2 linked regions of the Oryctolagus cuniculus genome follow. The protein of the gene in region 1 binds, or shares a complex with, the protein of each later gene. Links are inferred from orthologs where the notes say so. Each region holds a gene or a part of one and is shown on either strand. Other genes may lie near its edges.

What was found. Proteins that work in one complex are often made in the same cells at the same time.
Region 2: the proteins of BMP2 (region 1) and RGMA are in contact, whole or in part, in a crystal structure (PDB 4UHY), measured with the Homo sapiens proteins. The link is inferred for Oryctolagus cuniculus from reciprocal best matches to the Homo sapiens genes BMP2 and RGMA. Residues at the interface, in NP_001191.1 of Homo sapiens: Val308, Gly309, Trp310, Asp312, Trp313, Met371, Tyr373, Leu374, Asp375, Glu376, Lys383, Tyr385, Met388; in NP_064596.2 of Homo sapiens: Arg91, Arg94, Gly95, Leu97, His100, Ser101, His104.

The regions. Positions count from the first base shown.
Region 1 is NC_091442.1:31,667,527-31,672,383, forward strand, and holds the start of BMP2 (bone morphogenetic protein 2 precursor), read left to right. Parts: upstream 1-1,971; 5' UTR 1,972-2,033; intron 2,034-3,210; 5' UTR 3,211-3,217; coding exon 3,218-3,560; intron 3,561-4,857. UniProt on the Homo sapiens protein: Growth factor of the TGF-beta superfamily that plays essential roles in many developmental processes, including cardiogenesis, neurogenesis, and osteogenesis. Induces cartilage and bone formation.
Region 2 is NC_091443.1:3,419,398-3,423,455, reverse strand, and holds part of RGMA (repulsive guidance molecule A), read left to right. Parts: intron 1-2,349; exon of another isoform or gene 2,350-2,488; intron 2,489-2,662; exon of another isoform or gene 2,663-2,690; intron 2,691-2,975; coding exon 2,976-3,103; intron 3,104-4,058.

The DNA of each region.
Region 1 (4,857 bases):
GCCTCATACGCTTGGATCTCGCCCTGCGTTGTTTTACCTGCCCCTGGGCTGAGCGAGATTCACTTCCCAGGGGAAGAAGTGACGGCTTCCATAAAACGAAATAAAATCCTAGCCACCCTCCCCTCGCGCTGCCACACACACACACACACACACACACACACACGTGTCGTGTATAGGAAGAGACGGCCAAGTCACACCCGCAGACCCGGGTTTAAAGGGACGTGTGACTTGGTTGGAAGCACACGCGTGTATTAGGTATGTTTTCATGAACACACATGCGCGCACACGCGTTTGAGTGCAAATGCATACCCAAATTTATGTAACTGTAAATGCGCACACATGGATTTCCATCTGCAGCTACATAGATGTCTCTGTGTTAAATATCGGCCAGTTTCCAGCTTCCCCTCGCCGGGGAAATACAGAAGCGTCTACCACACCACGTCTGCACCAAGATGCTCTGTAACTTCCCTGAGCTCTTTTCTGAAAAACTTCAAACTGAAACCTGAATAACGGGCCCGGTGGAGACACCGAGGCCAGAACCTGCCGTCGCCCCGCATCTCAGCCCCGGAGAACACGCGAGGGTCGGGTACAAGGGTGACATCTCCGGCCCTAGGGCAGGGGGGTGGAAGCGCCAGCGCCCCCCTCGGCGGCCGCGCGCCCCCGCCCTTGGCCCCACCCCGCTGCGGCTGCCCCCGGCGCGCCGTCCACACCCCTGAGCGCCGCTCCCGCCCGCTCGGGGATCCCCGGCGAGCAGTGCCGCCGAGGGGGAGGTGTTCGGCCGGGGCCGGGAGGGAGCCAGCAGGCGGCGTCCCCTTTAAAAGCCGCGAGCGCCGCGCCACGGCGCCGCCGCCGCCGCCGTCGCCGCCGGAGTCCTCGCCCCGCCGCGCTGCGCCCGGCTCGCGCTGCGCCCGCCGCTCCGGTTCCCACACCCCGCCGGGGATTGGCAGCCGCCGCCGGACATCAGCCGCCGCCGGCGACCCGAGCGCCCTCGAGGCGAGCGCCGCGCGGATTACTGGGCGCTGCGAGGCACCCGCGCACCGCAGACCCCTCGCGGGTTGGAGCACCCGGCCGTTGCGCGCCACAGCTCGGTGGCCTCGGCTGCCCGGGCCGCGCCGGAGCCGCGGACGGGCGCGCGGAGCGCCGGAGAGTGCGGAGCCAAGCCCGAGCGCCGCGATGCCGAGCACCTCCTGCCGGGGATCGGGGGCTCGAGACGTGCCAGCCGAGGTGTGATCGGACCCCAAGCCGGCCACAAAGGGCACTTGGCCCGAGGGCTAGGACAGCAGCGAGGGCAGAGCGCGGCCACCCGCTTCGGCGGCCCGGGACTCGGCTGGGCTCGCGGAGAATGCGCCCGAGGACGACGGGGCGCCGGAGCCGCGGCTGTTTCCACTGGCCAGCGCTGATGGGGGTGCGCTGGCGGCAGGCAGAGTGATGCGGGGGGGCAGCTCGCCGGGCATCGAGATCGCCGCTGTGCCCTTCCCCGGACCCGGCGTCGCCCAGGATGGCTGCCCCGAGCCATGGGCCGCGGCGGAGCTAGCGCTGAGCGCCCGACCCTCGCCCCCCGGAGTCCCGCAGGCGGCCCCGCGCGCGGCCACGCGTCCCGCGGGCGCTGGTGCCTGAGGACGACGACAGCAGCAGCCTTTCCTCTCTGCCTTCCCTTCCCTTCCCCGGCCCGCACTCCTCCCCCTGCTCGCTGTTGTTGTGTGTCAGCACTTGGCTGGAGACTTCTTGAACTTGCAGCCTTAACTTGCGCTGCTCCCCGCTTCGCGCCGGTGCCCGCGCCCCGGCGGAGCCGCCTCGCTGCCTCCGAGCCCCGCCGCGCTGCAGCCCTCTGCCGGGCCGAGCCCGGGACGCCGCGCCCTGCGCGAGGAGAGGGACTCGGCGGCCGGCGCCGGGAGGAGAAGCCGGAGGCCACGGGAAGGGAGCGGACGCCCGGTCCCCGCGCCAGGTCCCTGGGCCAGAGCTTTTTCCATGTGGAGGCTCTTTCAATGGACGTGTCCCCGCGGGCTTCTTAGACGGACTGCGGTCTCCTAAAGGTACGGGACGCGCGGGCCCCGGGGTGCGGGGCGGGCGCTGGGCTCGCGCGGCGGCGGCGGCGGCGGCGGACCCCCCTCCGGGGCGCGGCCGGGCAGGACGTAAACAGACCCCTCTCCGGGGCCACGTGCAGCCCAGCCCGGCGGGGGCGCCCCCTTTCCCCGCGCCCGCACGCTTCCGCCCCTCCTCCGCTCTTCCTCGATATATTATTAAGGCTGTTAACACTTAGATGATTTTTTTAAAAAATTAAAAAGTCAAAGAGCTGCCTTGGAGAGGATGGCCCCTGGGTTTCACCCGTTAGCTGCCAACCTGTACGCCGTGGCACGGCGCTGTCTTCATCAAGATTCTGGGGGAGACCCGCGCTCTCCATCAGAGCCCCGTCCCCCGTAGGAAAGCGCTGGGCGTTAGGGGTTCTCTCCGCCGGTTGCTAGAAGCGCTAGAGGGCCAGGGTCCCGCTCGCGCCGTGGGTTTCCCCGCTGGCACGTGCGCGCGTGGAGATCGGCCCTTTATGTAACGCCGGGAAGGTACCTGCGTACGCGACCGCACCGGGGGCTCGCGGGCGGGCGTGGAGCGGGGCGTCCCGACACCCAGCGGGCAGCCACCGCCAAGCGGCTTCAGAAGTCGTGGCCCTGAGTTTGCAGGGTCTGGAAGTGGTGAACTGTGGCTCAGGAAGTTCCGTGCCCCGGTTCTCAGGAAGTCACATGCGCGCGCGTTTATAGGCAAGGGAGCGCTCTGAGTTTGGCTAGGCGCGGCAGGGTGTCAGATCAAGCGGTGATCCCCCAGACTCCCTGCATGGCTGCCAGCTCTGGTGTGTGTGTGTGTGTGTGTGTGTGTGTGTGTGTGTGTGTGTGTGTATGGGAGGGGGGAGTGACAACCACTTAAGTTCAGTGGGGAGGGAGCGAGGGATAAGGCCAACCCCCAAATCAAGTATCAGACGGGCCCAGGCTGGGGTGGGAGAGAGAAAAGTGCTCTGGGTCAGGAACTTGGGGCCCTCCATTCCCCCACCCCACCCCAAACGTTAGAGCTGTGGCCGCTCTGACATAGCCAGCAAGTGCTGCAAGGCAGGAGGGCGCCCTGGAGGAGGAGGCGAGCGAGCGCAGCGGGAGCCCAGGCCGCGGGGGCGGGAAGGGAGAGGACTGGGCGGGGAACTCGGGTGACTCACGTCGGCCCTGTCCGCAGGTCGACCATGGTGGCCGGGACCCGCTGTCTTCTAGCGTTGCTGCTTCCCCAGGTCCTCCTGGGCGGCGCGGCCGGCCTCATCCCCGAGCTGGGCCGCAGGAAGTTCGCGGCGTCATCGGGCCGCCCCTCGCCCCAGCCCTCGGACGACATCCTGAGCGAGTTCGAGTTGCGGTTGCTCAGCATGTTCGGTCTGAAGCAGAGACCCACCCCTAGCAGGGACGCCGTGGTGCCCCCCTACATGCTGGACTTGTACCGCCGGCACTCCGGCCAGCCTGGCGCGCCCGCCCCGGACCACCGGCTGGAGAGGGCAGCCAGCCGCGCCAACACGGTGCGCAGCTTCCACCACGAAGGTAAGGCGAGGCGCGCGCCGCAGGGGCAGAGACGCGGGCGGGTTGCTACCCGCAACGCCGAGCACCAAGGCCGGCTGCGGGCATCCCTGGAGAGGCAGTTCAGCCAGAGCTCTGCGGATGCTGTCCCTCTTGCTTCCGTACCGACCTTTCTGAATCTGATTTTCAGGCACTGCTCGTGTGGCGGGCCAGCCAGGGATTCCCCCTTGGTCGGTCCGTACCCGTTTCCTGGCACGCAGCCAGGAGGGCGACTCCTCCTCCAGGAACCAGAGCGGAATCAAGGGATGGGGAAGACGAGGCTAAAAGGCATGCCCCTGGTCAGCTAAGCGTGCAGGAATTCCGCAGTGGGAGAAGGAGGAGGTTTGGGATTTCTTGAAGTCTGTTTGGAAGCCCTTGCTCCATAAATCTGTGTCTCCAGCTTAAGCCAGGGTTTCAAGCTAGACTGAGGCAAGGGCGGAATTCTCAGATAGTCTTGAAAAATCAAAGCCCAGGGCCCCCAAGTCTTCCTAATTTACAGTGGATCTGGGCCTGCGTTGGAAGATTTCGAATCCCTATCTAATCCCCGTGGGAGATCAATTCCACAATCAATCTTATTGTTTCCACAATGACTTTCTTGTCTCGTGCTTAAATCTGAGATAGGCTCAGAGTAGAGACAAAGCAAGCCTTCAGATAAAACCTTTTGCAGCAGCTGCCTGTCTTCCTTCACATGCATTGAAATGTGATTTTTTTTTTCTTTTATGATCCTGGATGTGGTTTTCCTAAGGTAGGATATTTCTGCTGGTTTCATCAGGAAGGCATTTAGTGGATTTGAAATGTCTTAGGGCAGCTATGGAGCTCTGTTGCACCTAACTTCTTAGCACCGTTAGTCAACTACATGCTACATTTCCATTCTTTTGTTCTTTTAAATGTGCCTTTGGCTTAATAGCTCTAAATACAGAATGCATTCCTGCGAATTCTAGAAAAGAGTGGAGTTACAGATCACAGAACAGCCACTTGCACTGACTGATGTTCCCTTTTCCTTGACGAAAACAATTTTCTCTCAGTGGGACGTTTTCAAGAACGATGGGTGATAATGAGAAGAAGTCCCAAAGGCAGGTCCCATCACACAAGCTACTTCTCATCCCAGCTGTCACAGTGAAGGGAGCTGGGAGCTGGTAGCACGTGTTCCAGCACATTTTGAAGTAAAGTGTTTTCTGAAGATCTGAGGATCAACATCTTTTTCTATCTGTTGAGAATTCAGCCACTGACAGCAGAAGTTTGTTGTTACAGGAGAAAGGTTTTCCTTCCTGTGTCTTCTGTC
Region 2 (4,058 bases), on another chromosome or scaffold:
AGACCTGCAGGGGGTGTCACGTGGGGAGTCACTTCCTCCGTCAGACCCCAAGAGCCCCAGATAAAGCACCCCTAAGGAACGGGAGTGTGGCTCGGCCACGCCCAGCCTGAAGCCCAGCACTCAGCCACTCCCTGCCCCTCCGCCCATCCTGCCTCGGGCTCGGAGACCAGAGGGGCTTCCCCCACAGCAGTGGCCTGCAGAGGTTCTGGTCCAGCGGGGTCACATGCCAGTCACTGTGCTCCTGACCTTGGGCCCAAGAGGATGAGCAGGCTACTCCACCTGGCTGCCCAAGGTTGATGAGGCCCTGATTTAACAGAACCCACAGATCTAGAGAGAGAAGCCCCCAGGTTAGTTACCGAGGATGCTCATTTAAAAATGGGGTTGCCCAGGCTCCACCACCCCCAGGACTTCAAATTCAGGGGCTCTGGAAGGAGCCTGGCGTCTGTATCCCCCAGAAGCCCCTCCCCGGCTTTCTCATGGTCTCCGGCCTCACGGCCTTCGCCACCGTCCTGCTCAGCTGCCAGTCCCCAGGCAAGCCACGCCCTGGCGCAGGTGCAGGTCTCTCCCCGAGCCCCAGCTGCCCCTGCCAGGCCTGGTTCTGCTTTTCCAAAGGGGGCAGTGACAGTGGGGGATCCCCGCTGCAGACGGCTCACTGGCGTGGGCTTGGGGCCCCCCACCCTGCACACCGCAGCCAGCGATGGGGTGGGCACTGACATCTCATCTGCACAGGGGTGACAGGAGACCCTAGCGCAGCTAAGAGCGTCTAGGGGTGCACTTAGCACCGGGCACAGCACAAGGGTCCGTCAGAACGGCAGCCGCTCTTACTAAAATGAGTCCTTCCAGACGCCTGAAAACAGCGCCTTCTTGGAAAAGGTGCTCACAGCCCCTCTTCTTTCCCACTCCCCTTCCCTGTGGCCCGACGCGGCCCCGGGGCCCATTGCGGCTGTCTGTGAACAGGACCGCCTCGCTCGGTGGGTCTCCACTGAGCACTTCACCCTGGATTTAGGAGCTCCGTGTGCACACTCAGAAGTCCACGGAGTTGGGATCCCTGCCCACCACTGCCTGCCTCTCAGAAGCTCCCCAGACCCCCACAGCGTGGGGCCTCCGTGACCCAGGAGCGGGTCTCTGCCCCAGCCTGGGCTGCAGCCTGGGGGAGGAAGCCGGAGGGACCCCGCCATGCTGCTGCTGTCAGCCGCTCTTGGAGCTCGGTGAGCGTGGATGGCTTGTGCAGGGCACAGCTCTGCTCTGCGCGCTGAAGCCGGCGTTTGGAGGATGTCACTCCTGCAGACAGCTGGGGAGTTGTCCACAAGCTGGTTGGCTTGGCCAGTGTAGACAGATGGCCCAAGGTCAGCACAAGCCCATACTGCGCTGTGTGGGGCTGGGCTGTTCTCCGCAGTCCATAAACTGTGCAACAGCCAAATCCCCACTTTGGGGACCCCCACGTTCAGCCTCAGGCGTTCCTCCCTGCGTAGAAGGAAAAGCCCTTTGCGTCCCTTTTCCAAGTGACTGCGTCTCCTGTGGGGAGGGGGGCTGCCAGTTCCTAGCAGGCACACCCACCAGGGCCTGGAGCCCCGGACAGGCCGTATCCAGGGGGCAGTCTTGAGGCAGCCATGCTGTGGGCCTGGCCTTTGGGGAGGACAGGGCCGTGGGGCTGAAGGCTGTCCACCTCTCCAGGCCTGAGCCAAGTCCGCCCCTGGAGAGGGGGCACGGGGTCAGCCCGTATCCAGGCTGCTGCCCCCTCTCAGAGGCAGGGGGGCAGCTGCAGCACCGCGGGCCCCCGGGGGCCTGGTGTGTGCCCGGCTGCCGACCTGCCAGTCTGCAGAAGCAGCTCCAGCTGGGCCAGCCTCGGCGCCGGGCGCTTGTACTGCAGACACCGGCACTTGGCGAACCGGTGCCTAGAGGGGCGCACACTTGGCGAACCGGTGCCTAGAGGGGCGCTGGCACTCGGGGTGGGCTCTGAGACCTGTTTGCGGGCAGGGAAGCGACGTGTTGCGCCTCCCGCGCCCTTCTCATCCGGGGTGCCGCAGCCCGGTCCACAGGCCTCCCTGCGGGGGCGGGGGCGGGGTCGTGTCGCGAGGACCCGGGGCCTTGTTGGCTGCACCCACAGCTCGCGCCTCCCGCAGCCCCGGGCGCAGCGCGGCTGCCTGTGTGGCCTGCAGCGAGCGAGCGAGCGAGCGAGGGCTGCCACGGGCGCTCCGGAGGCATCCACGTTGGATGAAACCCCAGATCTTTCCCAGAGAACCAGACGAGCAGGCTTGGGCGCGAGGGCGGGGGGCCGAGGCGCGCTGGGTTTGACCAAAAGCACTTGCTGGGCCTCTGCGTCTCGTCCAGAAGATGTTTCTCGGGGGACGCGGCCAGCTCCTGGAGGATCACCAGGGCGCTAGAGCCGCCGGCCTGGGCAGCAGCCGCTCTTCTCGCGGAAAATAAGCGACTGGCCGAGCCGCGGGCCGCCACACCCCGAGGCCCTCCGGGCAGCGGCCGCCGGGAGGTAGCGGGGTTCGGGGGCGCATCCCGCGCGGGGTCGGGATGGAGGGCCCAGGGGCACGGCGGGCGGGGTCCGGGCGTCCCACGGACCGACGCCTCGGGAGCGGGGTGTTCAGCCGCGCGCAGGGAGGGGACTGGGCGGGGGCGGCGGCGGCGGCCACTTGGAGTGGACGTTGCGGGGGCGAGCGCGGAAGGGCGCGGGGACGGTGCGAGGCTGGGGGTCCCGGGCTCCCCAGGTCCCCGCGCCGGCGCCGCCGCTGCCCGCCCCGCGCCGCGGGGCCGCGCTGAAACCCGAGCGCGCGGGGGCGGGGCGCGCGGCCGCGTCCGCATTGGCGGGGCCCGGTGCTGGCTGCGGGGGAGGGGCGCGCGGGGCGGGGGGCGCGCCGGGCGCCGCGGCCTGGGGGAACCGAGCCTCCCGGCTCGCTGCTCCCGCCGGCGGAGCGAGGCGGCCCCTGCTCCGCAGCGCGATTGATCCGTGCCTTTCTTCTCAGCTCTTCCTCCAGGGAGAGGCTCGTGGCAGCAGGCCGAGCTGGATGGATGGGCATGGGGAGAGGGGCAGGACGCTCAGCCCTGGGATTCTGGCCGACGCTCGCCTTCCTGCTCTGCAGCTTCCCGGCAGGTAAGCGGCCGCCCCCGGCCCCCGGAGCGCCCACCGCCCCGGGCCTTTGTTCGCGCCGGGCCGCAGCCCGACGGCGGGGAGCGGGCGGGAGGTCGCCGCGCCCCGGCCCCGGCCCCGCGCTCCGCTGGGGCTGCGGACCTGCCGTGCGCCCAGGGGCGGGGCCCCGCCGGACCCGCGCGCGCCCACGCGGGGAGGCCCACGGCCGGCGGGCGCGCGGGCGCTGTTGGCTAACCCCGCGCGTGTGCGTGGTGTCAGAGAGGGGGAGACTTTGGGCTTTCAAGCTGAGAAAGCCCATCTGTTTCCAATGAATCCGCCATAGTGTTTCACAGCGTTTTTGGCAGATCGCTGCTTTCGAATTCCTCGGAGCCCGGACCTCTTGTTTTGGTTGGGGGCAGGGAGCCGGGCTCCACAGAGGAGCGTTTGTTCCTGCCCGGCCCTCCCGGCCCTCGCTTTCTTCCCCCCTTCGTGGAGAGGGGAGTGGAGCACGAACCTTAAATCCCCGGGCTGTTTTCTTTACAAAGTTCCGTAAAACTTTATTTCATTTTTGCCATATGCTGCTCACAGCCTGGAAACTCCAGGGAAGCCCCCGCTGCCCATTCTCTCCGACTGGCAACACAAATAAACAGTGTCCCGGGCCTCGGGCCGCCGCGCTGGGCTGCGGGGTTCCGAGATGTCTTTTTGCAAAAAGAAAAAAAGCCTGTTTCCCCGCCGCCGCCGCGGGCGTGAGCTGCATCCCCCAGCGCGCCACGGAGCTTTTTTGCAAGAAAGGACTTGAATCGGACTCGGATTGAGTTGTTTTGCTTTGCTCCCGGGCCAGCAGGGTTTCAAGGAACTGGCAGACCTGAGCAGCCCAGCTCCTGACCACGTAGGCAGGGCGCAGCCCCGGGGACACCTCCAGTTTGCCCTGCTCGGGGCACAGCCCCTGCACCCCGATCCCGCTGGAGAAACCCCAGCC